Sus scrofa: one gene and its partners. The protein of the gene in region 2 binds, or shares a complex with, the protein of the main gene of each other region. Links are inferred from orthologs where the notes say so. Each region holds a gene or a part of one and is shown on either strand. Other genes may lie near its edges. The genes, in order: KAT7, BRD1 and ING5.

What was found.
Region 1: the proteins of BRD1 (region 2) and KAT7 are in contact, whole or in part, in a crystal structure (PDB 5GK9), measured with the Homo sapiens proteins. The link is inferred for Sus scrofa from reciprocal best matches to the Homo sapiens genes BRD1 and KAT7. Residues at the interface, in XP_047297239.1 of Homo sapiens: Val40, Ile42, Glu43, Ile44, His49, Arg50, Ile51, Ser52, Ile53, Phe54, Asp55, Pro56, Leu57, Glu58, Ile59, Ile60, Leu61; in NP_008998.1 of Homo sapiens: Leu531, Phe534, Gly536, Lys537, Glu538, Ile539, Ser540, Ile541, Lys542, Pro552, Val553, Val556, Gln560, Leu565, Tyr567, Lys571, His572, Leu573, Val574, Leu575, Lys576.
Region 3: BRD1 (region 2) and ING5 share a complex: the UniProt entries of both Homo sapiens proteins name them as parts of the MOZ/MORF complex. The link is inferred for Sus scrofa from reciprocal best matches to the Homo sapiens genes BRD1 and ING5.

What each region holds. Positions count from the first base shown.
Region 1 is NC_010454.4:25,967,673-25,977,981, forward strand, and holds the start of KAT7 (histone acetyltransferase KAT7), read left to right. Parts: upstream 1-3,484; 5' UTR 3,485-4,093; coding exon 4,094-4,126; intron 4,127-6,615; coding exon 6,616-6,763; intron 6,764-10,013; coding exon 10,014-10,190; intron 10,191-10,309. UniProt on the Homo sapiens protein: Catalytic subunit of histone acetyltransferase HBO1 complexes, which specifically mediate acetylation of histone H3 at 'Lys-14' (H3K14ac), thereby regulating various processes, such as gene transcription, protein ubiquitination, immune regulation, stem cell pluripotent and self-renewal maintenance and embryonic development.
Region 2 is NC_010447.5:771,092-781,119, forward strand, and holds the start of BRD1 (bromodomain-containing protein 1), read left to right. Parts: upstream 1-3,215; 5' UTR 3,216-3,296; intron 3,297-3,593; exon of another isoform or gene 3,594-3,980; coding exon of another isoform or gene 3,981-4,005; exon of another isoform or gene 4,006-5,643; coding exon of another isoform or gene 5,644-5,657; coding exon 5,658-7,021; intron 7,022-10,028. UniProt on the Homo sapiens protein: Scaffold subunit of various histone acetyltransferase (HAT) complexes, such as the MOZ/MORF and HBO1 complexes, that acts as a regulator of hematopoiesis.
Region 3 is NC_010457.5:140,260,274-140,270,427, forward strand, and holds the start of ING5 (inhibitor of growth protein 5), read left to right. Parts: upstream 1-4,434; 5' UTR 4,435-4,507; coding exon 4,508-4,544; intron 4,545-6,588; coding exon 6,589-6,660; intron 6,661-7,886; coding exon 7,887-8,053; intron 8,054-9,330; coding exon 9,331-9,442; intron 9,443-9,602; coding exon 9,603-9,696; intron 9,697-10,154. UniProt on the Homo sapiens protein: Component of the HBO1 complex, which specifically mediates acetylation of histone H3 at 'Lys-14' (H3K14ac) and, to a lower extent, acetylation of histone H4. Component of the MOZ/MORF complex which has a histone H3 acetyltransferase activity.

The DNA of each region.
Region 1 (10,309 bases), on a different chromosome or scaffold from region 2:
CAGGCTGTTCCCTTGGCCTGGAAAGCCCCTGTTCTCCAGGTCCATTGGCAAACTTAATCGTCCTGTGAAGTTCCACTCTTACTTCATCTCTGTATGAATCCTTTTCCAAACCCTCAGTGTCCTTCTCTGTACCACTTCTGAACTTTGCTTATCTTTCTGCTGTTCCATTAATACTCTGTCGTGCTCTGGAACGACAAGCTTCCTGGCCTGGGGAAACACAATGTTGGGTTTTTTTTGTTTGTTTGTTTGGTTGGTTTTTGTCTTTTTGCCATTTCTTGGGCCGCTCCAGCGGCATATGGAGGTTCCCAGGCTAGGGGTCCAATCGGAGCTGTAGCCACAGGCCTACGCCAGAGCCACCAGCAACTCAGGATCCGAGCTGCATCTGCCACCTACATCACAGCTCACGGCAACGCTGGATCCTTAACCCACTGAGCGAGGCCAGGGATCGAACCTGCAACCTCATGGTTCCTAGTCAGATTCGCTAACCACTGAGTTACGACTGAAACTCCCGAAACACAGTGTTTTAATGCTTTAACTCAATATATAATATATAATACATAATGCCTCGGTAACATTCGGAGCCTCCTGCACTGAAGCGAGTCTCAATAGACAAAAACAAACAACCACTAAGACTATGGAAAGTTATTTTTCACAATCATTAGGATAGTCCAGCCATGACTAGGGTGACTGAAATTATAATGATCAGTAATAATGGCTATTTATTGAGCGCTTATTCTGTCAGGGACTGTGCTAAGCGCTTTACAACAATCATTTCCTTTAATCCTTATAACAGCCCTGTGACATGGCTATTGGTATCTTGACCTCACAGCTGAGAAATCTGAGGCACCAATACCTTTTAAAACTTGTCCAAGAGCAAAGCAGACAAAGTAGCAGGACTGAAATTCAAATCCAGATCTGACATCAGAGCCCAGTACTGGACACGAGAACAGCTGATGAATAAAATAAATAGGAGTTATGTTCCTATTACTTGTTTCGGGAGGAGTGAAACAGAACACCTACCAAACTGTAAAGTATATATAAATCAGTAAGTACAAACTAACATATCACTGTGCCCTACTACCTTAGAAAGAATACATCAGGAGAGACCTTCTGAAGAAAGCAAATTTTAAAGATGGTCGGGAGATGCATCAAGGCAGGAAGAAAAGCCTGTGTGAGAGCGCAAAGACAGGGAGAATAGTAGGACCACTTTTGCAAAGTCTGGCGGATGAGGATTGTCAGGGGCCCGGTCAAAGGCTTTAAACCAGCAGTTCGTGCATCACGAGCTAATTTCTGCTGGAGGGTATGCTCTTCAAGGACAAGGCATGTCTCAATGAAACTGTAAACTCTTTCGGTGTTAGCTGCAGTGTTTGAAAATGCAGTGCGAGGGATTAATGTGGAACATTTGTAATGTTGGTATTTGTATGATGAATGGCTAAGTCAGGATAAGATTTTATTCTCATATGCTAATTCCCAGGGAGGGATACTTCACCATCTTTGAGGGCTAGACATTCTGACAGTGTGAAACAGTAAACATATTTTGATTGAGGAACAAGAATTTACTATGGGTAGAGCACAGTCTGGCTGCCATTAAGGATGGTATAAAAGAAGAGAGATACGCTTTTTTTGTTGTTGTTTCGTTTTACTTTATTTTTAGGGCCGCACGCACAGCATATGGAAGTTTGAACATGGAAGTTCCACATCTGGGACCTACACCACAACTCATGGCCATGCCAGATACTTAACCCACTGAGGCCAGGGATGGAACCCACATCCTCATGGATACCAGTCGGGTTTGTTACCACTGGGCCACAACGGGAACTCCCGAGATATGGTCTTAACATAAGTGCTCTTTACCAGTAGTTGGGGAGCCAGAACACCCAAGAGTAACCTTGGGAACACCCGAGTAGGTGCAAAATAACAGTAATAGTGTGAAATTAAATAAGTTCTTTTGTGCAGTTCAACCTAAGTAGGCCATTTAAAGGTGTTTATGGTAAACATTAAAACCTAAATACTAACAGCTGCCTGTGTTATTACCAGCCCAGGATACACCCAAGGAGAGTGCTAAATAAGGGTCTGGAACTCTAATCCTTCTGAGTCCTCTGCTTAGCACAACAATCAGATGTTTACCTTCTGCTGCTTTGTTCTTTAGTTCAGCTCCAGGGGGAAATCTCCATCTTAGCTAGCCTCAGGTGAAACGGGCTCCAGGATCCTAACTTAATGACTCTTGGATTTTTTTTTTTTTTTTTTCCTCCCAGTCTCTGGGCAAAGCTTTACTCCACACAAGGCTTTTCTCCCAGCGAGGTTAAATCCTCAACGCTTGCTGTTCACTTCTCAGCCTTTTCTTACCGCTCTTCTGCCAACCTTACATCTTCCACCAACTTCTCCTTTCTAGGCAGCTAACATCAATGCCTTTCTGAGCTCCAGCTTTACTAAAAATATTCCTTCCTCTTCCTCCAACTCCTGACTCAAGCGTCTGGATTTCGAGAGGTCACTTGGGCTAATGGGGTTCAATGCTTTTCCAACTCTGGTACCGCGCACGCGCGCACACACACACACACACACTCATCCCGAGGGCCACCCAAGGCTCTCAAACCCATACAGGATGAGGGGACGAAGTGGGTGTGCTCACCACAGAGCTAAACTGGTAATTCTTTGGAGCAACAGTTTCTGGAGAATGGTTGTGTCTCCTTTCGCGAGTGAACGGATCAACATACTTGCGGTTCGCTAAAGGCAAGGACAATGTCTCCTCTACCAGACAAGAAACTTCTTCATGAAGGACGCTACCTTCTTTCTGTCCTTTCACAAGCCCCCATTCCCAGCACTGTGAGACACCGAATGGCTCTTAAAATAGTTTCTTGTGCAAAATAGCCCTTCCCAATTTTGAGTTTATGTGATAAAGGGAAACGTCCTTTAGCCAATTCGGCGACTAAGGGGTTAAACCTCAGCAACCTGATGGATTCTGGGGCTTTCTTTCCTCGACTTCAGAAATTAAAACCAAAGGGAAGGGAAATTTTGCCCATTGTAAAGATGAGAACTGTTAACTTCAACTGTCAGGCTTCTGCCCCAAACAGGAATGGCTACCCACGCCTACAGAGGATGCCATTCCCCTAACTAAAAATGGCGGGCCCCAGTTTCCACTGTCGCTGCCACTTTCTGCCCAATTCCAAAATGGCTCCCGCTAGCCTCACCGGAGGGGGAAACCTCCCAGAATCCTCTCTGGCCCTAACGTCAGGTGACGCAAGCCTCAGCCGGAAGTGGAGGAAAAAGCGCCTCAGCCCGCGGCGCCTGCGCAGAAAGGTCTAGACGCTGTGAAGCAGGAGGCACTTGGGATCGTCCGCAGGATTGGGACTGCTACAGAGGCCGCCACGGAGCCCGCCGGAGCCACCGTTCCCACTGCTGCTGCCGCCGCTGCCCGAATCGGAACCGTCGGGCCGCAGCCGCCGGCAATGCCGCGAAGGAAGGTGAGAGGAACGGGACAGGAGGGATGGCGGGTTTCTAAAGGGCAGTCGATTGAGAAGAGTGACGCAGTTGGCCACGCCTCACAGTGGTTGGGTTCCAACTTCCCGCTTCCCTGAACCTAGCTCAGCAACCCTCGCTTCTGTCCATACCCAACAGAAAAATGTGGGCCCGACTGTGGCCTCGGCCTATGCTTGCACCTATTCCCGCCCTCTGCTTGCCTGGCTCGGAGGCGTTCTTCTCGGCAATTGGTCGCTGAAACGTCTAGAAGCATGTTGATTGGCTGGCGACACCGCCCATTTGGGCCCAACGGTCACCTCCCCGCGTGTGGGGGCGGTGTCTAGGCCCGGCTCTACCGCTCTCCGACTGGATGTAGAGAACGATCCCTCTTCTCTTGATTGGCGGGGCTTGGCAGTCTGTCCTGTGGGGGCGCGGTTTAGCGGGACCGCGATTGGGTGGCACGAGTCCCCTCCCATCCGTATGGTGATGCTCATAGGAGGAGAGGCGGGGTTTGGGGAGTATCCTTCCTTTCCCCGCGGAGGACACAACAAAGCAGAGGACTGGGTGGTAGAGAAGCAGCGCCCACTCCCGAGGGATCCCTTCCAGGCCTGTTGCACCTAAGCTGCGGTTTTCCCTTATGTGCTTAGTTGGACAGCGCCTAGAAAATGAAGTTCGTAAATCGGAAACTTCCTAGAATTAAATGGGACTTGACGATGTCATCTAGGGACACCCCCATCCCTTTTCTCAGCTAAGCAGAGGCTTAAGGGAGTGCCCCAAGCCACTCAATTAGGCAATGACAGAGCCTGGACTACAGGACAAATCTAATTCAGTTCAACAAACGTTTATTGACTCTTCGCTATGTGCTGGTTGCCGAGGACTCGAAAATTAATTAGACATGATCACTGGCTTAAGGAATCAGAGTCTGAGAGGAAAACAGACATTTAAATAACTGTAGAAGGGTTTAGTAAATTCTCTACTTGGCAGTAATAAAGATTAATGGGAGGGAAGTGGAGCAATTTAATCTGCTCTGGAGTAAGATGGGAAGTAGTTGGTGAAAGCAGTAGAGGAGAGCTGAGCTCCAGGGTCATGCCAGGAAGGGATGGGCAGAGATGATTAGGGATTCAAATAGCTGGGTAATTGGATTGGATGACCTTTAAGACTCCCCTTTCATCTTAATTTTTGGTGATTCTCTGTGGATCCTCCACTCATTTCCTGGCAGATTATCCTTGAAATATTTGGAACGCTGGGTGGTGGTCTTGCTCATTTCTGCAGAAATCTTTCTCTTCACAGAGGCTTTCAAATATTTACATTTTTTAATGTCTCCAAAATGACCTACATTGATAGGTGGTATTTATGTTAAGGCTCACCAAATAGTACTGGTGTCTTGGAATAGGCCCACAGTCTCCTTTTTGCAATCCCCAAGTACAAAGAGTTCTTGAAAATGTGTGTTTTTTAGTAACTTATTTCTTGGCAGAACCTGTTCTAAACTGTTCTGAGGCTATTTACAGTTTTTGTGTCTCATTTAGTGTGATTGTACATATATTTTGCTGCAGAAAGGGTGTTATTTGCAGGATGTATGCAGACTATTCCTTTCTAAAAAATTATGAATTCTAAACACATCTGATCCTAAGGGGGCTTTTTGTTTGTTTTTGCTTCTTGTATGTTTTTTTTAAGCAAATGCATCTCTCTTTATGGTTTAAAATTTTTTTTGCTTTTTTTTTTAGGGGTGCATCTGTGGCATACAGAGGTTCCCAGGCTAGGCATCAAATCAGAGCTACACCTGCTGGCCTACGCCACAGCCACAGCAACGCAGGTTCTGAGCCACATCTGAGAGCTACACCACAACTCACAGCAATGCCAGATCCTTAACCTGCAACCTCATGGTTCCTAGTCGGATTCGTTTCCTCTGCACCACAGTGGGAACTCCTCTTTATGGTTTAATAAAGGGTATGGTGTTAGCATAGGAGGGTACCCCAACCCTTCTGGCTTTGCTCTAGGATTCCCTGGGAAGGAAAGAAAGTTGGAATTTAATACAGAAAGCTGATGATCAATAGGTGATAATAAGTTGAGGGAGAAAATGTAACATACTTTGAGCACTTAAATTGTGCCAATTTGGTTACTGCTGTATGAGCATGCTGCAAAATGGGAGAAAAACTTCTGTTTTTTCAAACAAGTGTTTAATGCTTAATTGATAAAAGTTATCTTTATGGTTAATTGTGTCTCTGGAGGCTGATAATTGACAAATAATATTAACTGTAAAGGTGATTTTAAAAAACCTTCTGTTTTTGCATACCCATGTGTCTTCGTTTGCAAACCACTCCCTCCCCCCTTTTTAAAAGCACTTTTGGGGTACATGTGGAGAAACTTCAAAGGGAGATGACATAAGTAAGAAGAATTACTATTTTTCTCCCTAAGTTTGAGATCAGAGTTATAGACCATGATATTTTGAATCAGTGTGTGGTTTTTAATTCATTTTATTTTTTTATTTTTTGGTTTTTTTTTTTTTTTGCTTTTAAGGGCCATACCTGCAGCATATGGAGGTTCCCAGGCTAGGGGTCTAATCAGAGCTACAGCTGCCAGCCTGCACCACAGCCACAGCAATGCAGGATCCGAGCCACATCTGCAACCTACACCACAGCACATGGCAACACCGGATCTTTAACGCACTGAGCGAGGCCAGGGATCAAACCTACAACCTCATGGTTCCTAGTCGGATTCGTTTCCGCTGAGCCACGGTGGGAATTCCAGTGTGTGGTTTTTAAAAATGTAATAGCTGTTTATGTAGACTTTGAGCAAAAGCTACTCCAGAATTAAGTGAGGCTGTCACTAACATTTTTCTCTTTACCCTGGACTTTGTATAAGTGCATTGTTATGTCAGCCAGACTATTTTGAGTTCTGTATTTTCCAGTTTCCAAATCAATTTGTTTCAGAACTAATGATGATACAGTAAGAATTAATTCTCTTTATTTATTTAATAAAGATGCACTATTCGTAGGTTGTTCCATTTAAATGCTCTAAATGAAGGGAAATTGGCTGTGGAGTCCTTTCTTAGATTTGAGCTTGGTGTTTTCAGCATCACAGTTTGTTTTATTTCCAGTGTTATTTCACACCCACGGAGTTAATGTTTCTGTGCTAATGTCTGGATCTATGGTGTTACAGAGGAATGCAGGCAGTAGTTCAGATGGAACCGAAGATTCCGATTTTTCTACAGATCTCGAGCACACAGACAGTTCAGAGAGTGATGGCACTTCCCGGCGATCTGCCCGAGTCACCCGCTCCTCAGCCCGGCTAAGCCAGAGTTCCCAAGGTAAAAGGCCGCTTCCTTCTTCCTGATCACACCTCACAGCTCACTGGTCATCATGTTACTGTGCTAGTTCATGTGGAAACTGGTCCCTTGACGTGATGCTGATGACAGAATCTGGTACAGTGCAGAGCAAATGACTGCTAAAGTGTCAGGTCCTTAAGGATGGTTCTGTTGGGGGTCCTGTCCAATTGTAGACCCGGAAGAACTATCTCTGGTATGGTACATTTGTGACACCTGTATGTCTTGAGTCTTTTAATTTTTTATGGATTACAGTTTCCCTATAAAATGAGAATGGTATCTTTTCACTTTTTGTTAGAATGGCCTAGGAACTTGATAAAGTGGTGTCTCGAATGTGCTATTGGAGGAGGCCTAAGACCTTTAAAACCATGTTTAATTTTGTACTATAGTCAGGTGCACAATCAATACAGATGACCCAACTATCAACTATAATAGTACCCAGAATTTTGCTATGGTAGTAAAGAATAGAGAATCTCGGTGTTGGAAGGTTCTCTAGTACAGTTAGCCATCTGGTCTTAGATTTGGAGGGTACCCACTGTCTTGGCTCTGCTCTGAGATTCGCTGGCAAAGAAAGAAAGTTGTGAGTAATACAGAAAGCTGATGGTCAATAGGTGATGATAAATTAAGCGGGAGAAGTATACTCCGAGCACTTAAAAGTGCTGATTTTTTTTTTGCTGCTATATGAGTGTGTTGCAGACTGAGGGAGAAACATCTGTTTTTTCAAGCAAGAAAGTGGGAACATTCTCTCTGTGGTTATTCCTAACTTTATCTTTGAATTTAATATTTCAGCTGAAGTATAGATAATTGTCTCTTGATTTCTCAACTTCTACGTTTGTATTTTGGGGCATAATGGGAATATTGATAAACGGTTGCTATAATTCAGGTATTATGCAACATAGTGGGATACTGTGATAGAAAAATCGGAGTTCCTGCCCTCAAAGAGCTCACAGTGTAATGTGGGATGTCAACTCTTATGGCAACGCATTGTGCTAAGGGCTGCGAGAGAGGTTTGCATAGAGTGCTGTGGAAGCCTAGAGATGGAAATCTTTAAGGATCTAGGAGGAATTTACAAGTTGAAAGACAAGAAAGTGTTATTATAGGCAGAGGGTACAGAACATGCAAAGGAATGGGCATAAATGCTCTTAGTATAAATGGCCATGCCAAAGTTCCTGTTGTGGCTTAGTGGAATGAACCTGACTAGTATCCATGAAGACAAGGGTTTGATCCCTGGCCCCGCTCAGTGGGTTAAGGATCTGGCATTGCTGTGACCTGCGGTGTAGGTCGAAGACATGGCTTGGATCTGGCGTTGCTGTGGCTGTGGTGTAGGCTGCCAGCTGCAGCTTGGATTTGACCCCTGGATGTGAACTTCCAAATGCCACCGGGTGTGGCCCTTAAAAAAAAAAAAAAAAAAAAAAAGCCATGCCCTGGTCACCTGAAAGTTATAAATATTCAGAACAGATAGGAATTACATGAGCTCTGAGTCTTTTTCTAATGACTGTACTTCATGAACACTGAGTGCCACAATGGGAGGGCACTGTTCTCTATGTGGTCTCTGTAAGGGGGCCCCCTCTAAAGCAAAAAGTAGACTGCATTGTAAATGGAACCCCCTGGAGGCATGCAAACTGAAAACCTAGCTGTGTGCTAGCTCTTACATGGGAATTTGAGAATTTCAGGGGTTTTTTTGTTTTTGTTTTTTGTCTTTTTAGGGTCACACCCATGGCATATGGAGGTTCCCAGGATAGGGGTCTAATCAGAGCTATAGCCTCTGGCCTACACCACAGCCACAGCAGCCACAGCAACGCCAGATCCGAGCCACATCTACAACCTACACCACAGCTCATGGCAACGCTGGATCCTTAACCCACTGACGGAGGCCAGGGATCAAACCCGCAACCTCATGGTCCCTAGTCAGATTCGTTTCTGCTGTGCCATGATGGGAACTCTGAGAATTTCAGTTTTCTTCATTAAAGAATTAGGATTTTTTGTTTACATAACATATTAGGGTTTTTTTTTTTTTTTTTTTTGGCTTTTTGCTTTTTGCTTTTTAAGGCCATACCCGCAGCATATGGAGGTTCCCAGGCTAGGGGTCCAATCGGAGCTAGAGCTGCCGGCCACAGCCACAGCCACAGCAACCTCATGGTTCCTAGTCAGATTTGCTTCTGCTGTACCACAACAGGAACTCTTATTAGGGTTTTTTTTGTTTGTTTGTTTAAATATGCTTTAATTTTAGCTTCAGATTTATTTTATTCCTTTTTTAGGTGTCATCAGACTGGAGATGTAAAAAGGTTGCTGGGTGCTTCAGAATAGATTTCTCCATCCAAAAGAATTTTAAAATTGTGTTTTTGCCTTGCCCTTTACAAATCTAGATTATATTGCTTCAGGGTGTCAAAGGGGGTAATCAGGAAGAAAAAGATTCTTTTTTTGGGGGGGTCTTATTGCCATTTCTTGGGCTGCGAGCCTGCAGCATACGGAGGTTCCCAGGCTAGGGGTCGAATTGGAGCTGTAGCCGCCGGCCTACACCAGGGCCACAGCAGCACAGGATCCGAGCTGTGTCTCCACCTACACCACAGCTCCTGGCAATGCCAGATCCTTAACCCACTGAGCAAGGCCAGGGATCGAACCCGCAACCTCATGGTTCCTAGTCAGATTGATTAACCACTGAGCCACGATGGGAACTCCAAAAAGAGATTCTTAGAGAAAGAACATAGTTACATATTGCTGTCCTTTGGTAGTAGAGTATTTATTTTCAGGTCGATTGGAGTAAGAATAGAGGCAAGAGGATGCAGCTAATATTTATAAAGCCCCAAATTTAGGGATCTTGGGATTGTGTTAAGTGCCTTATGTGAATTATTTCATTCATTTCTCACAACAAATGTATGAGGAATGTGCTACTAGTATTTTCCTTTTTTTTTTTTTTTCTTTCATGGATCAGGAAACACTTGGAGAGATTAACTTGCCCAAGATGCCACAGTTAGTTAGTATGATGGAGTGGAACTGAATCACGTTCAGTCTGGATTCCAGAGCCTAAACTATTAATTCTGTGCTGTGTTGCATCTCTGTACCCGATCTATTTCGTTTACATTTAATTCAGTAAAAAAGATAGTTGAAGGTTTTGTTGCATTTTGTGAGATAGGAAGAGGAGGACCTACATGCTAATAAATCACAGTGATGGGAAATAAAACAGATTTCCTTCTTTTTTCTTTAATTGTTTTATTGTTTTAAAAATCGGGATCAGATTCCAGCCCTGTTCGAAATTTGCAGTCTTTTGGCACTGAGGAGCCTGCTTATTCTACCAGGAGAGTGACCCGTAGTCAGCAGCAACCTACCCCAGTGACTCCGAAGAAATACCCGCTTCGGCAGACTCGGTCATCTGGCTCAGAAACTGAGCAAGTGGTTGAATTTTCAGATAGAGGTGAGTGGGTGTCGTATGATTTGAACCCATTCCAGAGAAGGTCGTGTCAGTTACCTCTTAAGGGAGGCTCAGAGCCACTGCAGATAGGTACCTAATACACAGTTCGGCTATAGGGGAGT
Region 2 (10,028 bases):
CAACTCCGGATCGGAGCTGTGTCTGCGACCACAGCTCATGGCAACACGAGATCCTTAACCCACTGAGCGAGGCCAGGGATTGAACCCGCAACCTCATGGTTCCTAGTTGGATTCGTTAACCACTGCGCCAAACGGGAACTCCTGTTTTCTTTTTTTTTTCACTGTCAATTTTTCATTTTAGTTTTCCCCCCAGGTGTTTTGAAATCTGTAAATCTTTTTTTTTTTTTTTTTTCTCTTTTCTAGGGCCGCATTCTCAGCATATGGAGGTTCCCAGGCTAGGGCTCTAATCGGAGCTGCAGCCGATGGCCTACGTCATAGCCCCGCCAGATCCAAGCCGAGTCTGTGACCTACACCACAGCTCAAGGCAACACTGGATCCTTAACCCACTGAGTGAGGCCAGGGATCGAACCTGCAGCCTCATGGTTCCTAGTCGGATCCGTTACCCACTGAGCCATGACGGGAACTCCTGAAATCTGTAAATCTCATTTCAATTTTTCTAGTGGAAACTTGAGTATTTCAGACTTTTTTCTATTGATTCTAAAACCTAGCAATACAAGCAATTTCATGTTTTGACTTCCTGCTCCCCCTCCTTGCCATATGCCATGTTGGGCTCAGGAGAGATTTTCTCTCGAGTTCTTTGACTTTCTTTGAACAGTCTAAGCTGGTTTCTTGGTTGGCATCCAGGGCTTACTCTTGGAGTCACTTTTTGTTTTGCGATGGTGTATCTTTTAGCCCTTTTTGAGAGATCTAGCATGTGGTAAAGCTTGAGTATTTACAGGGGTGAAGACACTTGTATTTGCTGTTCACTGTGTGTGGAATTCGAGGTTCAGTTCTCAGAATGCTGACAATTTCGCTCCTTTGCCAACTGACAGTCAGGTTCAGTCTGATTCAAGAAGATCTTTCCAGGAGTTCCCGTCTGGTGCAGCAGGTTAAGAATCCGACTAGTATCCATGAGGATGTGGGTTCGATCCCTGGCCTCACTCAGTGGGTTAAGGATCCAGTGTTGCCGTGAGCTCTGGTGTAGGTCGCAGACCTAGCTCAGATCCTGGGCTGCTGTGGCTGTGGTGGAGGCCGCGCAGCTGTAGCTCCAATTTGACCCCTAGCCTATGAACTTCCATATGCCGCAGGTACAGCCGTAAAACACGGGCAAAAAACCAAAAAGGCCCTTCCTCTGAAGGTTTGGAGCTAGTCCCTCTGGCCTTGGAGTTCCAGGCCATTCCTCCCGGGTGTCACCCCTGCTGGAGTCACTCTCCTGTCTCTCTTCCTTCTCGAGGCTGCCTCCGGCCTGCTGGCTTGCATCTGACGGGCCTGGGGAGGAGAAGGGCGCAGTCCTCCACTGCTGCCCTTGGGCCTGGACGACAGACGCCTGGAAGAGCAGAGGACGCACATGCAACTGCTCGTCTGGCGCAGATGTGGTCAGGCCCAGCGGTGGCCCTGCCTCGCCTCGGCCTGAGGATGTGTATGCAGGCTGGACCTGGCACAGGAACTTGACCACTAGGTGACACTGGCTGCTGTCCTAACCCACCCTCCCAGCCTTCGCTTTCGACCTGTATGCCGTGTGCAGTGGGGCACAAGCACTGGTCAGTGACAGGCCCCACTTGGGACACTTGGCTGGAAGGGCCGCCCGTTCTGCATAAGGCATCTGGAGGAGACCCTAAGCAGTGGAGGTGCCCTGCAGGGAAAGGTCTTTCCAGCTCAGAAGAAACCTGCGTGCCCCCCCCCCCCCGCCCCCAGCTGCAGGCTGGGGGCCACCTGCCACTCCTTGGCTCGTTGGGGCCACTGCACTAACCTCAAATCCTCAGGGAAACCAAGGAACCCTCTAGGCCTCTCCCTCCTCCCAAAACATTTTGGGACTTAATCTTGGGGTGACAAATGCCACAAAAGCACTGTATTTTGGAGTTTGAGCCAAGTTCAAAGTGGAAGCAGCCAGTGGGAGGCTAAGCTCAGGCCTCTGCACGCCAGCGCCCAGGGGCCTCTCGGCTTCACCTGGACCCCAGAGAGGGGCTCAGGTACGGAGGCTGCCTGGGCCCAGGCCTGCTACACCTGAGACAGGGCAGGGCCAGCTGCCGCGCCCCCCGCCGGCCCCCCTCCCTCTGCACATGCAGACTCCCCCAAACCCTGTCTCCTCCGCCAGGTGCTCATGGGTCCCTATTCCACCCAGCCTGGCACTCCCGGTGCCCTCAACACTCAACTGGGCCGGTCCCACCCAAAGCCCCACTATTCCAGGTCTGGCGTCCCACCTCTTCATCCCCTCAGGCCCCTCTCCCCGATGCCCCCTTCCTTGAATCCCCTGCCCCCCAGGGAACCCCCAGCCTCCCATCAGGAGCTTCTCCCCCTCCCTGCGTCCTCTCAGAGGAGCCTCCAGAACTTCGTGTCAGGCGCCCCTCCCGGCCCGGCGCCCCCCTAGGCCTTGTCTTGGGTCCCGGTCCCCGCCCCGCCCCCCCCCCGGACCCCTAGCCCTCGCGTCGGGTCCCCCCTTGGAAGACCCCCCAGCCCTCGCGTCGGGTCCCCCCCCTTGGAAGACCCCCAGCCCTCGCGTCGGGCCCCCCCCGGAAGACCCCCCAGCCCTCGCGTCGGGTCCCCCCCTTGGAAGACCCCCCAGCCCTCGCGTCGGGTCCCCCCCCTTGGAAGACCCCCCAGCCCTCGCGTCGGGTCCCCCCCTTGGAAGACCCCCCAGCCCTCGCGTCGGGTCCCCCCCTTGGAAGGCCCCCCAATCCTCGGGTCGGACCCCCGTCCTCGCCCGCCCCCTCGGAGGACCCCCGCCCGGCCCCCGCCCGGCGTCCGCGCGGCGCCGGCGCTCAGGGCCCTCGCGCCCTCGGCTCCCCTCCCCCCGGCGGCGGCGGCGGCGCGTCATGGCGGCGGCGGGCGGGGCGCGTCTCGCACGCAGCGCGCCGGGCGGAGCGCTCGCCGCATTGTTTGCTTCGCTGGGGAGCGAGCGAGCGAGCGAGCCGGCCCGGGCGTCCGAGCAGCTCCGCGCCCCGCCGCCGCCGCCGCCGCCGCCGCCGCCGCCACCGCCGTCGCTGCCGCCGCCGCCGCCGCCGCCGCCGCCCGCCGGCCGGGCCCCCGCGCCGGGCCTCCGTCCGGCCCCGCCGCCCGCGCGAGCCGCCTGCCCGCGAGCCCGCGGCCGCCGCGCCGAGAGCCGGGCCGGGCCGCCGCCGACAGGAGCCCGCGCCCAGAGCGGCGGCGGGCCGGGCCTGCGCGGCCGTTGGCGGAGGAGCCGCGGGCGCCATTAGCGCCGCCTCGGCCGCGCCGGCCCCCGCGCCCGCCGCCCGGCTCCCGCGGCCGCGGCCCCGAAGGTGAGTGCGCCGGGCGGGCCGAGCCGCCCCGCCGCCGCCTCGCCCCGCGGGCCCCGGCCTCTCGGCGGCGGGCGCCGCCATGTTTGGCGGCGGCGGCGGCGGCGCATTGTCCGCGGGCGGCGGGCGGAGGGGCGAGGGAGGCCGCGGGGCCGGGGCGGCGGCGGCGGGGAGGCCGGGGGCCGCGCGGCGGCGGCGGCGGCCGGGCGGCGGGGCGGCGGGCGGCGAGAAGGGAGGGCCGGGGCCGGGGTCCGCCGGCCGAGGGGCGCCTTATGTAACGGGCGCGCTCGGGGGGCCGAGCCGGGGCAGGAAGCGCCGTGTTCGCGGGCGCGGGCCGGGCGGCCTCCGCCCCCGCCCCCGCCCCCGCCGCGGTGGCCGGGCGCCCGGCGGCCTCCGGGCTCTTTTGAAGAAGTAACTCGGCGGAGTGTCGTTCGCGGGGCCGCTCGCGCTGCAGGACGGAAGTCGGAGCCCGCTCCGTCGCCGCCGGGTGGGCGGGCGGCTGCTCCTGCCCGGCACCTGCTCGCCTGCGGGCCCGGGAGAGCTGGAGGGGCTTGGCCGAGGCCAGGCAGCATCGGCGCTGGCGTGGGCTCCGCGGAGCTGGCCCGCGGGCGCCCGGCCCCTCTGCCCCTCTTGTGGCCTCCTGGCTTTTCCAGAAGCGTTTAAGGAGAGGCCGGTCTGCTGGTGGGAATGCGTGTCCCGTCCAGAAGCCCAGGTCTGGCAGGAGCGGGGCCGAGAGCAGAGCTGGTGGGTGCAGGGGAAGGACGGGTCGGGGGCAGGGACCCTGTCAGATGAGGAGCTGTGTGGCCTTTGAGGGCTATTCCTCTTGGACCAAGTGGCCAGATAAAGAGCTGCCGTGCCCTTCGGGAGAGCGGGGGTTTTGAAGGGCTGGTTGTGCTTAGAGCCACTTGGTACTCTGTTGTCGAGAAGAAAACTACATGTTGGCTTTTAACTTGGTGAGTAGCCAACTGTTGCATCTGCTCTGCCCCAGTAAAGACCCCTGAACTGGGCCCGGGCGCCCGGGGATCCCCTGGGTGCAGGCTCTGGGGCTGACAGCTGGGCCTCGCCCATCTCCCTCACAAGGGCTGGCAGGGCCAGCTTGGTGGTGGCTTGGCTGACCGCTCCCCAGGGTCCAGGGCTGGGGTGCAGGTGAGTTAGGGTCTGGCCGATCAACTGCGGTGTTTTCCATGCTTCTCCTTGCGGGGGGGCGGCGGCTAGTCTAACGTGAAACAGGTTTCTGCTCGAGGAAAGAAAAAGGAAACCGCAGCCTGAAAGTTCTCGTCTTCCAAGCGCACTTTGGGTCCGTCTGCTGGGATTTCCTTTGGGGTTTAACAGCGCGAACCTTGGCTGGCTCTTCCCAGAGACTGACAGCCACCCGGGCCCACAGGCAGCCGTGGGCCTTGGGCTCCACCTTGAAATGTTTGTCAGTTCCTCTCTTAAACATCATTTTGCCTCCTGTCAGTCAGGTGTGGTTGTTTGGAGGGTGGAGAGTCCTTGTCACCTGGTCTAAGGTGCCACTCTGCTTGGTAGGCAGTGGTCCAGAGTCAGGAGTCTCCCTCCAAGGGAGACGGAACGTAGGCTTGGTCAGTGACAGATGGCAGACGTCCGAGGAGAGTAAATTCCTGTAAATGTCCGCGGCCAAGTCCATGGCCAAGATCTCAGGTGCCTGAGTCTGTGTGGCACGGGGTGGTGGGGGTGGCAGGTGTGCAGGGGTCTCGGTGCGGCCACTCCTGAGTCCCCGTAGAGGCTGGCTGGGGGCCTCCCAGGGGTGAAGCCTGCCCCCAGGCCAGTGCAAGGCTTCCCTCTTGGGTCCTGGTGGCCGGTCGCCTTGTGCCTCCGCGTAGGTGTGGGGGGAACGTGTTCCTGGGAGGATGGGTTACTCCCGGCAGGGGTACTGCCGGGGTCAGCGCCCTGGGCTCCAGGGTGCTCTCCTGGGCTGTAGCAGGGCGGGGGGCGCCGGGGACCAGAGCCCCTCACGGGCCGGCCTGGTGCTCACAGCCTCCTGCCCCTGGAGTCCAGCTCTGGGCTGGGCTTTCTCCGGCAGCCCTGCTCGGGAGGGATGTTGTGCTTGGCTGGGTGACCTAAGAGGGTGGCCGGCGAGCGCTGGAAACGAGACTGTCCTGGAAGGACCCGAGACCGTCTTGGAAGGACCCGTGGGCGCGGGAGCCTCTGCAGGGCCACGCCTCCGCCCACCCGCTCTGGTCCCTGGAGTCCCCGGGGAGGGTGGCCTGGTGGGATGAGTGATTTTGGAAACCTCAGGGACCGGTGAGCGGGGGGTTCGTTTGATAGCGCGGGAGTCTGCGCCGCCCCCGCATCCTCCGCGCCGAGGTAACGTGTGCCTGGTCTCTTTCAGGGAGTCGGTACCAAATGAGGAGGAAAGGCCGAGGTCATCGCGCCGCAGCGAGGCCCCCTTCCTCCCCGAGCAGCACGAAGCCCTCCCCCGCGCGCGAGACCCTGACCTACGCGCAGGCGCAGAGGATGGTGGAGATCGAGATGGAGGGGCGCCTGCACCGCATCAGTATCTTCGACCCCCTGGAGATCGTGCTGGAGGACGACGCCACCGCCCAGGAGATGAGCGAGTGCAACAGCAACAAGGAGAACAGCGAGCGGCCGCCCGTGGGCTCGCGGACCAAGCGCCACAAGAACAACCGCGTCAAGAAGAAAAGCGAGGCCCTGCCCAGCGCCCACGGCGTGCCCGCCTCGGCCAGCGCGCTGCCCGAGCCCAAGGTGCGCGTGGTGGAGTACAGCCCGCCGTCGGCGCCCCGGCGGCCGCCCGTGTACTACAAGTTCGTGGAGAAGTCGGCGGAGGAGCTGGACAACGAGGTGGAGTACGACATGGACGAGGAGGACTACGCCTGGCTGGAGCTGGTCAACGAGAAGCGCAAGGCCGACTGCGTGGCGGCCGTGTCGCAGAGCGTGTTCGAGTTCCTGATGGACCGCTTCGAGAAGGCCTCGCACTGCGAGAAGCAGAAGCAGGGGGAGCAGCAGTGCCTGATCGACGAGGACGCCGTGTGCTGCGTGTGCATGGACGGCGAGTGCCAGAACAGCAACGCCATCCTCTTCTGCGACATGTGCAACCTGGCCGTGCACCAGGAGTGCTACGGCGTGCCCTACATCCCCGAGGGCCGCTGGCTCTGCCGCCACTGCCTGCAGGCCCGCGCCCGGCCCGCCGACTGCGTGCTCTGCCCCAACAAGGGGGGCGCCTTCAAGAAGACGGACGATGACCGCTGGGGCCACGTGGTGTGCGCCCTGTGGATCCCGGAGGTCGGCTTTGCCAACACGGTCTTCATTGAGCCCATCGACGGCGTGCGGAACATCCCGCCCGCCCGCTGGAAGCTGACCTGCTACCTCTGCAAGCAGAAGGGCGTGGGCGCCTGCATCCAGTGCCACAAGGCCAACTGCTACACCGCCTTCCACGTGACCTGCGCCCAGAAGGCCGGCCTCTACATGAAGATGGAGCCCGTGAAGGAGCTGGCGGGCGGCGCCGCCACCTTCTCCGTCAGGAAGACCGCCTACTGTGACGTGCACACGCCCCCGGGCTGCACCCGGAGGCCTCTGAACATTTACGGGGACCCGGAGATGAGAAACGGCGTCTGCCGGAAGGAGGGCTCGCTCAAGACGGTCAGGGCCACGTCCAAGGTCAGGAAGAAGGCCAAAAAGGCCAAGAAGGCACCGCGGGAGCCCTGCGCCGCCCTGCCGCCCGTGTGCGCGCCCTGCATCCCCCCGCAGAGGTAAGTGCCCCGCGGCCCCCCGCAGAGGGAAGCGCGGCGGGCTCTGCGGCCCGAGGCCGGGCGCGCTGAGGCCCACGCGGGGTGACGGCCCCCCTGCGCAGCTGCGCCGAGTCGCTGCTCCCCGGGAACGCGGACGTTGCCGGCGACTCGGGTCTGTGAGACCAGCAGGGCGGTGGTGTCCTCGGTGCCCGCTCCGGCCGCGGGGTGCCCTGGCCGTTGTGGCGGCCTGGGTGGCTGCACCTGGGGCCCGTGGCACCCCCGAGGGTCGCCACCGGGCAGGACGAAGTGCTGTTCCTCGCCCTCCCCCTCGCTGCAGTGCGGGCATCTCGGGGAGCCCCCCCTCTGGGCTCGTGGGCGAACGATCCATTGTTGTCACTGTACCAGGTCAGGTGCCTGCAGAGGCGCGGGTTCCTTCTCGGGCCGGGGAGCTTCCACCTGGGCATCGCTGAAACCGATCTTAGGAATCTTGTGGGTTTTTTGTTTTTTTTTTTTGCTTTTTAGGGCCGCACCCGCGGCATGTGGAGGTTCCCAGGCCAGGGGTCGGATCAGAGCTGCAGCCGCCGGCCTACGCCACAGCCACGGCAACGCGGTATCCAAGCCGCGTCTGCGAACTACACCACAGCTCACGGCAATGCCGGATCCTTAACCCACTGAGCGAGGCCAGGGATCGAACCCACAACTTCATGGTTCCTAGTCAGGTTCATTTCCACTGCGCCACCATGGGAACTCCCTTCTTGTGGGATTTTTAAAATCACTTGTGGAAAAGTTGAGCAGGGTGGCCGAGGAAGGCCAACACCAGGGCAGAGAGCCGCGTGGGGCTGCGAGGGCCGCGTGGGGCGGGGTGCTGGCCCCCTTCCTGGTGGGGGCAGCCTCTGCTTTCCTGGTTCGTTCCCTGGCATTTCCCTGGCGGTCCGGACGGGGCCTGGAGTGGTCTGTGCTGGTGGGGTCAGGACCCCGAGGGGCCCCCTCACCCCTGCACGGAGTCTAGGGCCGTCCCCACCCTGGGCTTGTCTCCTCCTCTGATTGTCCCCTTGCCACTTACTTGTTCCTTCTTTCTCCTTTAAAAAAAAAAAACCTTTCTAGGGCCACACCCGTGGCATACGGAGGTTCTTAGGCTAGGCTAGGGCTCGAATCGGAGCTGCAGCTGCCGGCCACCGCCGCAGCCACAGCTGTGCAGGAGCTGAGCCGCGTCCGCGACCTACACCACAGCTCGTGGCAACGCGGGATCCTTAATCCCCGAGAGAGGCCAGGGATCGAACCTGCGTCCTCATGGATCTTGGCTGGGTTCGTTTCGGCTGAGCCGTGATGGGACCTCCCTGACGTGTCCTTTTTGTTTCCTCCCGTCTATGCTGTGGCTCGGGACACGAGGCAAGTGATGGACGCTTTCCCGCCAGAGCCTGAAGTGCCCAGAGGTCTGGGGGAGACTCGAACCCCGGCCTGAGCTTCGGGGAAGTGGTAGCGCGGTTCCAGTTGGGCGTCCGTCCCGGGAGCAGGCCTCCCGCGGGCTGTGCCGTCAGGTCGTCCGGCGAGGGGGCCGCCCCGTGGGGTCCGGCTTTCAGCCCCAGGGGGTCGGGTCCTCGCTGTGTGTGGCCGGTGGCGGCCTGGCCGGTTTCCCCACGTCGGCCTCGGGCTCTTTGTGGAGCAGCTCAGACTCACGACGGGGCCGGTCAGTCCGGTCCAAGCGCCTTGAAAGCGCTGCCGGTGCCGCGTCTCCGGAGAGCATGTCCCGCAGAACCAGGGCTTCTGCGAGTCCGTCGCTCGGGTTTGGATCTGCTCCCAGGGCTCGAAGGCCGGGAGCTCGGGCGCTGCCAAGGCTGCGCCCAGGCCCGGGTGCCCTGCGGCGCCGACGGCGTTTGGGGAGGGGCCCGTGGGCACGGGCGGCGACAGCCGCTGGCGAAGGGCTCTGTGCGGCCCCAGTGGCTGGCGGCGGAGCGGGGCCGTGTCCCTCCTGTCCTTCCTTCCCCGGCTCGGCTGCACACCGAGCCTCCAGGTCGGCGTCAAGGCGGAAGCTCGCCGGGGGCATGATCCTGGCTGCAGGTTTCGAGCGCAGTGTGGACCCCGTTTCAGGCCACTTCAACCCCCTCCGTGACCCTGCCTCCCCCCTCGGCCTGTTGGTGACCGGGTGTCGGGACCCCCCCCCCCCCGTAGCTGGGACAGGAGGGGCAGCGGGTCTGGTGGCCACTTCTCAGGCCGGAGACCCCGGATCCCTGGCGGTGGGGTAAAGCCCGGCCTTGGTGACCTGCTTTGCTGCGGGGCCGGGCGTGGGGGACAGGAGAGGAGGGGCCTCTTTCCCTCGCAGGGGGCTCCGAGAGCGGGGTGCCTGGCAGGGCTTGTGATGCTGTGTGGCGTGAGTGGCCGAGCAGCTGAGGACTCGGGTGAGAGGGAAACCGAGACCAGCGGGGTGGAAGGTCGCGCTTTGTTCTGGACAAGAGGGGAGGACGGGTGTGATGTTTTCACTTTGTAGTCTGACTTTTTCTTTTCGGGCTGCACCCTCGGAGTGTGGGAGTTTCCCCAGGGCCGGGATGGAACTACCCGAGCCGCTGCCGTGACAGCACCGGATCCCCGACTCGCTGCACCACAAGGGAACTCCTACTTTTCGGTGTTTTTTTAAAATTATTTTTTTGTCTTTTATCTTTTTGTTTATTTATTTATTTTTTTTTTGTCTTTTATCTTTTTTAGGGCTGCATACGCGGCATGCGGAGGTTCCCAGGCTAGGGGTCTAATTGGAGCTGTTGCCGCCGGCCTACGCCAGAGCCGCAGCAATGCGGGATCCGAGCCGCGTCTGTGACCTACACCACAGCTCACAGCAATGGCAGATCCTCGACCCGCTGAGCGAGGCCGGGGATCGAACCCCCAACCTCATGGCTCCTAGTCGGATTGTTAACCACTGAACCACGACGGGAACTCCATTTCCCGCATTTTTAAGTTAAAGGATTGCTTTTCATCTCTTGGGTAATAGGCTCTGGAACTAAGTCGTGGCAGTTCCCGGGCCTGGCCCCCAACTGGG
Region 3 (10,154 bases), on a different chromosome or scaffold from region 2:
CACTTGGCATATGGAGGTTCCCAGGCTAGGGGTCCAATCAGAGCTGTAGCTGCTGGCCTACACCACAGCCACAACAATGTGGTAGCCAAGCCGTGTCTGTGATCTACATCACAGCTCATGGCAACAGGGGATCCTTAACCCACTGAGTGAGTCCAGGGATCGAACCCGAGTCCTCGTGTATGCTAGATTCGTTAACCGCTGGGCCATGACGGGAACTCTAGGAGTCATCTCTCATTTTTGCAGTGACCAAAAGCATCTTTGTAAGAAAATTCATCAATTCTTATGTGAACAAAAGAAGACAAACTGCTCTCTGAATGGAGTCGTTTTCATCACATGATCCATGACAAAGGCTGCTGCGATCGCAAAGGATTTTCTTTCAGATGAAAGGCGTGAAGACCAGTTTGCCCACAGTCGATAGTAAAGGACGTAAAAATGAGGGAAGAGGAGGTCCCGTCGTGGCGCAGTGGTTAACGAATCCGACTAGGGACCATGAGGTTGCAGGTTTGATCCCTGGCCTCGCTCAGTGGGTTAAGGATCCGGCCTTGCCGTGAGCTGTGGTGTAGGTCACAGACGTGGCTCGGATCCCGAGTGGCTGTGGCTGTGGTGTAGGCTGGCGGCTACAGCTCCGATTGGACCCCTAGCCTGGGAACCTCCATATGCCGCGGATGCAGCCCTAAAAAAAGGAAAAAAAAAAAAAAAAAAAAAGACAAAAAAAAAAATGAAGGAAGAACTGCAAACAGCCAACAAAGTTGTGCAAATCTGTTTAGTCTCGCTTAAAATCAAAGAAACACAAAACACTGAAGTTTTTTTTGCAATCACATGGAGCAAAGATAAGAAAGCCTGGTGAAATCTAGGGTTAGCAAAAGTGAAAACCCACTCAGTCAAGTGTCAGTATTAGCTTCCCTCAGGCAATGCGTTTAGAAGACTGGCACTTAGAACCTGACCTTTGGGCTAGCGAAACAGTTTTGAAGAATTTATCTAAAGAGCCGTAGACAACAGAGTGGCTGCTCCTCCCATTGAGAGGCGTGGTCTAACCTTCCTCCTCTCGAATCTGGGTTGGTCCCTCGGACTCACTTGACCAATAGCATGTGGTCAGGTGATGTCTTGGGGTGACCAAGATGAGGTCTTGCGGCTTCCACCAGGGCCTCTCAGAACTTTCTGGAAGCCCTGAGTAGCCACCTAAGAGGTACCATTGGGCTGGAGAGGCCACGTGCGTGTGCTCTGGTCCACGGTACCAGTCAAATGCAGCCTTCCAGCCACCCCAGCCATCTCCATTGTATCACTTAGAAGAGTCACCCAAGTGAGCCTTGCTGGAACGCCGGACTCATGAAAATTGTGAGCTATAAGAAAATGCTTCTTTTAACCACTATGTTTTAAAGGTAGTTTAGGAGTTCCCATAGTGGCGCAGTGGTTAACAAATCCGACGAGAAACCATGAGGGTGCGGGTTCGATCTCTGGCCTCGCTCTGTGGGTTAAGCATCCGGCATTGCCGTGAGCTGTGGGGTAGGCCGCCAGTTGTAGCTCTGATTTGACCCCTAGCCTGGGAGCCTCCATATGCCGTGGGTGTGGCCCTCGAAAAGACGAAAAATGAATAAAAATAGAGGTCGTTTACTCTGAGGCGATGGGTATGTGCAGGTCTATGAACAAATGGAGCACTGTTTAAGGTGATGAAAAATTGGAGACAATCAACAGGCGTTCACCCGCGCGGTTTGCTGAGCTACGGCCACCGGTGGCCCGCACCGTAACACCGGGGGAAACTCCGCCAGGACGCCTGAGGCGTATTGGGAGAATTAAGTTAAAGATGTAAATGGTATAGGAGTTCCCGTTGGCTGAGCCATTAAGAATCCTCAAGTATCCAGGAGGATGCAGTTTCGAACCCGGGCCTGCTCAGTGGGTTAAGGATCTGGTGTTGCCCTGGGCTTCGGTGTAGGTTGCAGATGGGGGTTGGATCCCATGTTGCTGTGGCTGTGGTGTAGGCTCAGCCCCTAGCCTGGGAACCTCCATATACTGCGGGTGTGGCCCTAAAAGACAAAAAAAAAAAAAAAAGAAAGTAAATAGTTGCAAAGTGGATTGTGTGACTCACCAATTAAGAAAAGCAATAGCTCAGTTTTAAAAGTGGGCAAAAGAGGAGTTCCCACCATGGCTCAGCGTTAATGAAACTGACTAGAATTCGTGAGGATTTGGATTCAATCCCTGGCCTTGTTCAGTGGGTTAAGGATCTGGTGTCCGGTGGCTACAGCTCTGATTAGACCCCTAGCCTGGGAACCTCCATAGGCCGGGGGCGGGAGGGGGCACTAAAAAGACAAAAAGACAAACAAAACAAAACGAAAAAACCTGAAATAGTACAGCTTATTCTGAAAGACAGTTTGGAAAAAAGAAAAAAGGCGTTCCCGTCCTGGCGCAACAGAAAGGATTCTGACTAGGAACACGCTGTGGTGAAGGTCGCAGACTCGGATCCGGCGTTGCTGAGGCTTGCGGCGTAGGCCGGCAGCTGTAGCTCCAATTAGGCCCCCCCGGGAAACTCCATATGCCGTGGGTGCGGCCCTAAAAATACAAAAAGACAAAAAAGACAGTTTGGCAGTTTCTTACAAAACTAAATATAATCTTACAGTATGATCCGGCCATCATGGTTCTTGGTATTAACCCAAAGGAATTGAAAACTATGTCCGCACAAAAATATGTACAGAAATAATTATAGCAGCTTTATTCATAATTGACAAAACTTAGATGCAACCAAGATGTCTAATAGATGAATGGATAAACCGTGGGACAAAAAGACAATGAAATATTCTTCAGCATTAAGAAGATACCATCCTAGGAGTTCTGGTCATGGCTCAGTGGTAATGAACCCCACTAGGATCCATGAGGATGCAGGTTTGATCCCTGGCTTCACTCAGTGGGTTAAGGATCCGGTGTTGCCATGAGCTGTGTTGTAGGTCACAGATGCGGTTTGGACCTTGTGTGGCTGTGGCCGTGGCCGGCAGCATATGCCTTGAGTGCGGCCCTAAAGAGAAAAAAAAAGAAAAAGAAGATGCCATTCAGTCACGAAAAGGCGTGGAGGAACCTTAAAATGCATATTACTGGAGTTCCTGCTGTGGCTGTGGCGCAGTGGGTTGAGAGTCCAGGGTTAGCTCTGTGGCAGCTCTGGGTTTGACTCCTGGCCCAGCACAGTGGATTAAGGATATGGAATTGCTGCAGCTGTGGCCATAGGTGGTACAGGTCACAGCTGCAGCTCAGATTTGATCCCTGGCCTGGGAACTTCCACATGCTATGGGTGCGCCCCCCCAAAAGCTTATTACTAAAAGAAAGAAGTCAATCTGAAAGGGCTACATGCTGTTTGATTTCAACTACATGACAGTCTGGAAGAGGCAGAACCAGAGACCAAGCCAGGGGCTGGGGCAGGGAGAGAGATGCATGGGTGGAGCAGGCCATTTTAAAGGCAGAGCAACTATTTTGTATGAAACTGTATTGGTGGGTACTTAACATAGTCTTACCACACAGAATGACTCCTAATGGAAAATCGATATGGTTTCATCAGTTGTAGTAAATGTACCCCAGAAATGGAAAATGTTTTTTTATTTTTTTAGGGCCACATCCGTGGCATTTGGAGGTTCCCAGGCTAGGGGTTCAATTGGAGCTGCAGCTGCCAGCCTACACCACAGCCACAGAAACATGGGATCTGAGCCATGGCTGAGACCTACACCACAACTCACGGCAACGCCAGATCCTGCACCCACAGAGCGAGGCCAGGGATCGAACCCACAACCTCATGGTTCCTAGTCAGATTCGTTTCCTCTGAGCCATGACAGGAACTCCGAAAATGTTCATAAGGGAAACTGTGTGTGTGTGGAGGGGGTATATAAGAACTGTTTCCTTCTCAATTTTTCTGATAACCAAAAACTGCTCTAAAAATAAAGTTATTAATAAAAACACCTACTTAATAAAGAAAGTGGGTAGTATGCAATTAGCTCCGCCAGCGTGTGTGTGCAGTTTCACATCAAGCATTGAATCGGGCCAGAACGGTTGCATGGAAACTGCAAACATTTGGTTGAAAGGTGAGCAACATAATCACAGTTCTGTTCCTTGGGGAGGTTGGAAATTTTCCTTTCCCTGAACAGCTTGAATTTCTATAACGAAGGTAAAATTGACAAAACAATGAATGTGCTTCCACTTTTAAATATCTGCCTGGGGTTTACGGAAGAGTTCAACAGAAGGGGTGTATCTTTACACCGGCATTTTCGCTGATGAAACGGCGCCACCCGCCACCCCCACCAGCCCCCGAAAACCTCCAGAGGCCGAGCGTGCTCGCGCACCTCGCAGCCCCGCACCTGCTCCGACCGCCCCGCCGCGACCCCGACCGGAAGCCGGGGGGCGTGCCCAGAGGAGCCCCGCCCCGGCGTCCGCCCAATCAGCGCGCTGGGCTCATTAATAGTGACCACGCCGGCCCCGCCTCCGCCTCCCGCGGCGCCACCGCCCGCGCAGACCCAGAGCGCGGCCGCGGACGAAGATGGCGACCGCCATGTACTTGGAGCACTACCTGGACAGTAAGCGTCCCCCGCCCCACCCAGGCCCGCCACCCACGCCGGGGCGCCCCCGCCGCGCCTCCTTCGCGCGTCAGGCTCCGCACACGGACCCCGGGGCTCGTGGGGGCGGCGGGGCGGCCCGGCGGCAAAGGCAGCGGGGGCGCGCGCGGGGCAGGCGGGGCCACGGGGGAGGGGCGCGCAGGGGGCGCGGCACGGGGTCCCGCCATCACGGCCGCGCCAATTCCAGATGCGTCACGGCGGGGAGGGGCCGGCGCGGCCGGGGCGGGGCCAGCGCGGCCCCGCCCTACCCTCCCGACCCGACCACGCCCACTCACCGAAGGCTCCGCCCGCGACCAGGCACCGCCCACCGCCTCCTAGGCACCGCCCGCTTCGACGTATGCCCCGCCCTCTCCACCGGGCCTCGCTCCTTCCCAGCGGGGCCTTGCCTTACCTGGTTCCCTGCTCTTCCCCACCGAGGTGGCCCACCAAGGTGGTTGAGACCCAGTCCTCTTGGACTCTGGGCCGGGTTTGGGGGTCCCAGGGCCTGGCGAGCTTGGAGGGCCTGGATTCCTTGCCTACTTGTGCTGTGACCTGGGAATTGCTTTCGAGTCCCAGTTTGTGCATCTACTAGGCATACTGATGTGGAGGGTCCCCCAGGGCACCTGTCTTTGTGCAGGGGGTTTGGGGGCGCAGCTTCCAGGGCTGGGTAGGGTGTTCAGGGCAGTGGTCATCACCACTGAGCCATAGCCATCTCTGGAGGACTCCTGAGCAGGTGGTTGTTCACGCTTTTCACAGAGGGGGTGGTGTTGCCTGCAGAGGCTTAGTAGCTTGTCACAGTTGAGCACTGGAGAGTGGAGACCCTAGCTTTAAACACTGCTGCCTGGCTCTGGCTGGGAGTTGGCCTGGGTGGGGGCTGGGTCAGGTGGCTCTGGAGCACTGGGTGTTCAGAGTCACTCTGGGCTGGGAGCTCCACCCGAGGTTGCTGAGAGTAGGGCGTGACCCCCTGCTCTGGGGAAGATGGCGAGGATCCAGCCCTCCCAGGGGGTTGCTCAGTCCTGGCCGTTTATTCTGCTCACCTGGCCCCCCGTGAGCACAGGGTCCTGGGTGGGAGAACACAGTGGAGGGAGAGGTTTCCCCAGCAGTGTCATTAGGGGGCCCGCCCTAGGTGTCTGCTGGGTGGCACTGCGGCTTGCCCTTCTCTGGCCTGGAGCCTGCCTGGTGGGCCCCTGTGGAGGGACTGAGGGACTTGAGTTCTGTCCTGTGTGGGGCTCCTGTGTGAAGGCTTGGGACCTTGAGCGCCGGCTGTGTTCCAGGAAGGCAGACATGATTCTTCCTTTTCCTGAAACTCACTATTGAGTGGGGCAAATAGAAGTTTCCAGGCCATGAAGGAGCCCAGGAGATCATGACAGTGCAGGGGTGGCACTGTTCTGGCAGCCGCACTAGGATAGCAGGGGGTCCACTCGAGGGCGTGGTGGGCCTGGAGGCCAGGATGGCATCTGTGCTGCTCCCTGGGTGGGCTGGGAGTGGGGCTTGGAGCAGATGTAGCTCCTAAAGTGATCAGCTGCGGCGGGGCCGAGGCTGGACTGAGAGGGCTGCGTGCAGGTGTGAGAGCAGCGGGGCAGGGCCCTCCACCTATGCTGTCCGTTGCCGTCTGTTTAATTTTAAATAACCCTGAGTAAGAGGAGAACTTGAGTCCCTCTGCATACTTGCCCGTTTCAGGGGCTTGGTAGCTCCATGTGGCTCCATCCTCATAAAGTCCCACGTGCAGCACTGGCCGGCCCCCGATGCCCTGGAGTTCAGAGTCAAGTGGAGGGAGATGGGGGGGCCTCCGGGTTTGGGACATGTTCCCTGGGAAGAGGTGTCTGCCGGGGAGGGGTGACCTGGGCCTTGGAGTGGAAGAATCCCACGGCATCTTCCTGCCTCTGCTTGCACCTCGTTTCTGCTTTCACCTCTACCTTCTCGAGCTTCTGACAGCCTCTGGAGCGTGTCAGCCTCTTACCAGCATGTTCAGAGTTTGGCACAAGTCGCTCAAAAAGGATATCTTAATCCTGTCTTTGTGTTTCAGGTATCGAGAACCTTCCCTGTGAACTTCAGAGGAACTTCCAGCTGATGCGAGAGCTGGACCAGAGGACGGAAGGTGGGTTCGGGCCTCTCAGCACAGCCAGAGCTGGGCCCTGATACCCTGGGGACTGGAGCACCAGGATCCTGGGATGGCACCAGTCCTGCAGGGGACCTGGTGTGGGGCTGCTGTCCAGGCCCGTGCCCTGGGTGGTGTCTCAGGGAGACTGCTGATTCTCTTTTCTTTGCTTTTCTTTAAGGGCCACACCCACAGCATATGGAAGTTCCCAGACTAGGGGTTGAATTGGAGCTGCAGTTGCTGGCCTACACCCCAGCTCACCGCAAAGCCAGATCCCCGAGCAAGGCCAGGGATCAAACCCGCATCCTCATCGATAGATTGGATTCGTTTCTGCTGCGCCGCAGTGGGCACACCATGATTCTTTAAAATCAAACTTAGGGAGTTCCTCTCGTGGCTCAGTGGTTAGTGAACCTGACTAGCATCCATGAGGATGCAGTTTTGATTCCTGGCCTCCCTCAGTGGGTTAAGGATCGGGTGTTGCTGTGAGCTATGGTGGAGATCGCAGATGCGGCTCGGGTCTGGCATTGCTGTGGCTGTGGTGTAGGTCGGCGGCTACAGCTCCGATTAGACCCCTAGCCTGGGAACCTCCACATGCCGCGGGTGCAGCCTTAAAAAAGCAAAAAAACCAAAACCCAAACCAAAAAAGTCAAACTTGGTCTTTTGCGTTTTTGTGCACTTTTATGTCATATCTTTTTTTTTCTTTTTTTTTGCCGTGCCCTGTGTTTTCACCTGCAGCACGTTTCTTCACCTGTTAACCAAACGGTTGAGTTGTGTCTGTTCCCACCCTCAGCGTCAACAGCGTCATCCTGCGTGTGTTCCTTTGCGTCTTGCTTTTCTCTCTCAGCGTCACCTCTTGTGGGGTTGACCCTTGCTTGGTCCTTTTGTGGCTGGGCAGTGTCCGGTGGTGTGACTGGACCATGGCTCATTTATCTCCTTTGGGTCGTCTCCTGTTTTCTGCAGTTGGGAGTGTGTGCCCCGGGCTGTCCGGGACTCAGCCTTCAGGGTACACGCCTGTGCACAGGACACCGGCTCACGGGTGGGGCAGGCGTCACGCGCCAGGACCGTCCCGGGCACGTGGTCGTGGTGTCTGGGAGGGCTGTGCCCACCGCCCCGCAGTGGCCGCTCCTTTGCTGGAACTCGCTCTGGTCGGGCTGTATCGGCTGCCGGTCCGGTGAGCACGGGCCGGCCTCCAGGCACGAGGACGAGCTCGGAACCGTCTCTCTCAGATAAGAAAGCCGAGATCGACATCCTGGCTGCCGAGTACATTGCCACGGTGAAGACCCTCTCGCCCGACCAGCGCGTGGAGCACCTGCAGAAGATCCAGAGCGCCTACAGCAAGTGCAAGGAGTACAGCGACGACAAGGTGCAGCTGGCCATGCAGACCTACGAGATGGTGAGCCCGGCCGCCCGGCCTCTGCCGCCCCTCCCCCCCTCGGCTCCGTCCCCTCCTCGCAGCGGGCAGCCGGTCAGCGCTTCTGGAGGGAGTGTCCGAGGGAGGGGTGCCCCCCGGGCCGCGGCTGCCCTCCGGTCTTCTGTGCCCCTTCTGCTTGTTGACTGGGTTGCAGAAGCCGTTCATTTACGTCCATGCTGAATGCTTTGCCTTTGTCAGCGGTAGGGAAAGTTCCGTCCTGTTCCTGCTCAAGTCAGCGTTGCCCAGGGCTCACAGGGCGGCACAGAGCCATTGTCCAGAGATATGCGCGAGGCTGTAGGGCAGCGCCAGTGAGACAGACAGGATTCTTTGTTTTTGTTTTTGTTTTTTTTCTTTCTAGGGCTGCATCCGCGGCATATGGAGGTTCCCAGGCTAGGGGTCTAGTCGGAACTGTAGCCACTGGCTTACACCACAGCCACAGCCACGCCAGATCCAAGCCGCGTCTGCGACTTACACCACAGCTCAGGCAACGCCGGATCCTTAACCCACCGAGTGAGGTCAGGGATCGAATCCGCAACGTCATGGTTCCTAGTCGGATTCATTAACCGCTGAGCCACGACGGGTCCTCGCAGACAGGATTCTCAAAGCCCTCGTCCCGCGGCATTCGAGGAGGGCCCTGCAGGGCGCGGGGCGCTTACAGCGGTGTCCCTGCGTGCTTGAGCCGGTAGCAGCGTTTCCAGGAGCTGGGCTTCCCCTGCTGTCACGAGGTCACCGTGCCCTGAGACGGCGGTCCTCTCCAGGCTGGAGAGCTGTGGTCTCTCCTGCGGGCTGTGGCTGCCGCGGCGGTGCAGTCCCTCGGGACGTCGAAGGACCGTTGCTGCCGCGGCGTGGTCCCGTGCGCATGGGCACCGGGCTGCGTCCTCCTTCGCCCGCGGGCTCCACCCTGTACCAGAAGCTTCAGAGTCGTTTTCTGCGGAGGAACCTATGTGTTCTTCCCATTTTAAGTTTGGGTTCAGCAGCAAAGGTCCTCGCCCCGATTCCGTTGCACTTCCCCGCGTCGTTCCCCTGTGGCCTGCCTTCCCGGCCCTCGGCTGAGTAGGATTGGCTCTCTGGTGTGTCAGGTGTGCGGGGGACAGAGCCCCTTGCATCAGCGCTGAAGGAGAGGGCCTTGTTCCGGCGGAGCTTCGTGAGTCTACCCTCAGTCACAGGCGGGCGGGGCTGCTGGTGGACTCGGGCCCTTGCGGGTCCCGAGGCGCGTCGCCTCTCGCTTGACTGCAATGTGTGAGCATCCTTCTGTGTAGGTGGATAAACACATCCGAAGGCTGGACGCGGACCTGGCTCGCTTCGAGGCGGACCTGAAGGACAAGATGGAGGGCAGCGACTTTGAAAGCTCCGGAGGACGGGGCCTAAAAAGCAAGTCATAGTTTTTCTTTATTTTGTTGTTGTTAACTATGGCGTCCTGAAGAATTTTGTCTAAGTGTATTAGGAACATTACGGTAAATGTCATATTTGGGTAAATCTTGTCCTGCTTCAGTGAGTTCTGTGAACAAAGCTGGGGTCTTTGTTGTTTCAGAAGGTCGAGGTCAGAAAGAAAAGAGGGGCTCCCGGGGCCGTGGCAGGAGGACCTCAGAAGAAGACACCCCAAAGAAGAAGAAGCATAAAGGAGGGTGAGAGGCACTTTTTTCCTCTTTCCCCCAAAGAACACCAGTGGCACCGACTCAGGATCTGGAAAGGCAGTGACTGTGAGGCTGAGGGGGTGCTTTACTTGTGCCAGGTGCGCCACAGCTTCTGCTTTAGCTGTGCCAGGTGTGCCGCAGCTCCTGCTTTACCTGTGCCAGGTGTGCTGCGGCCTCTGGTGCTTTTCCTGTGCCAGGTGTGCTGCGGCTCCTGGTGCTTTTACCTGTGCCAGGTGTGCTGCGGCTCCTGGTGCTTTTACCTGTGCCAGGTGTGCTGCGGCTCCTGGTGCTTTTACCTGTGCCAGGTGTGCTGCGGCTCCTGGTGCTTTTACCTGTGCCAGGTGTGCTGCGGCTCCTGCTTTAGCTGTGTCAGGTCGGTTGGTCCTCACAGCAGCCTGAGGGAGCACTGTTGTTCTAAGTGGTGAGCCCAGTTCAAGCTTAGAGCTGGT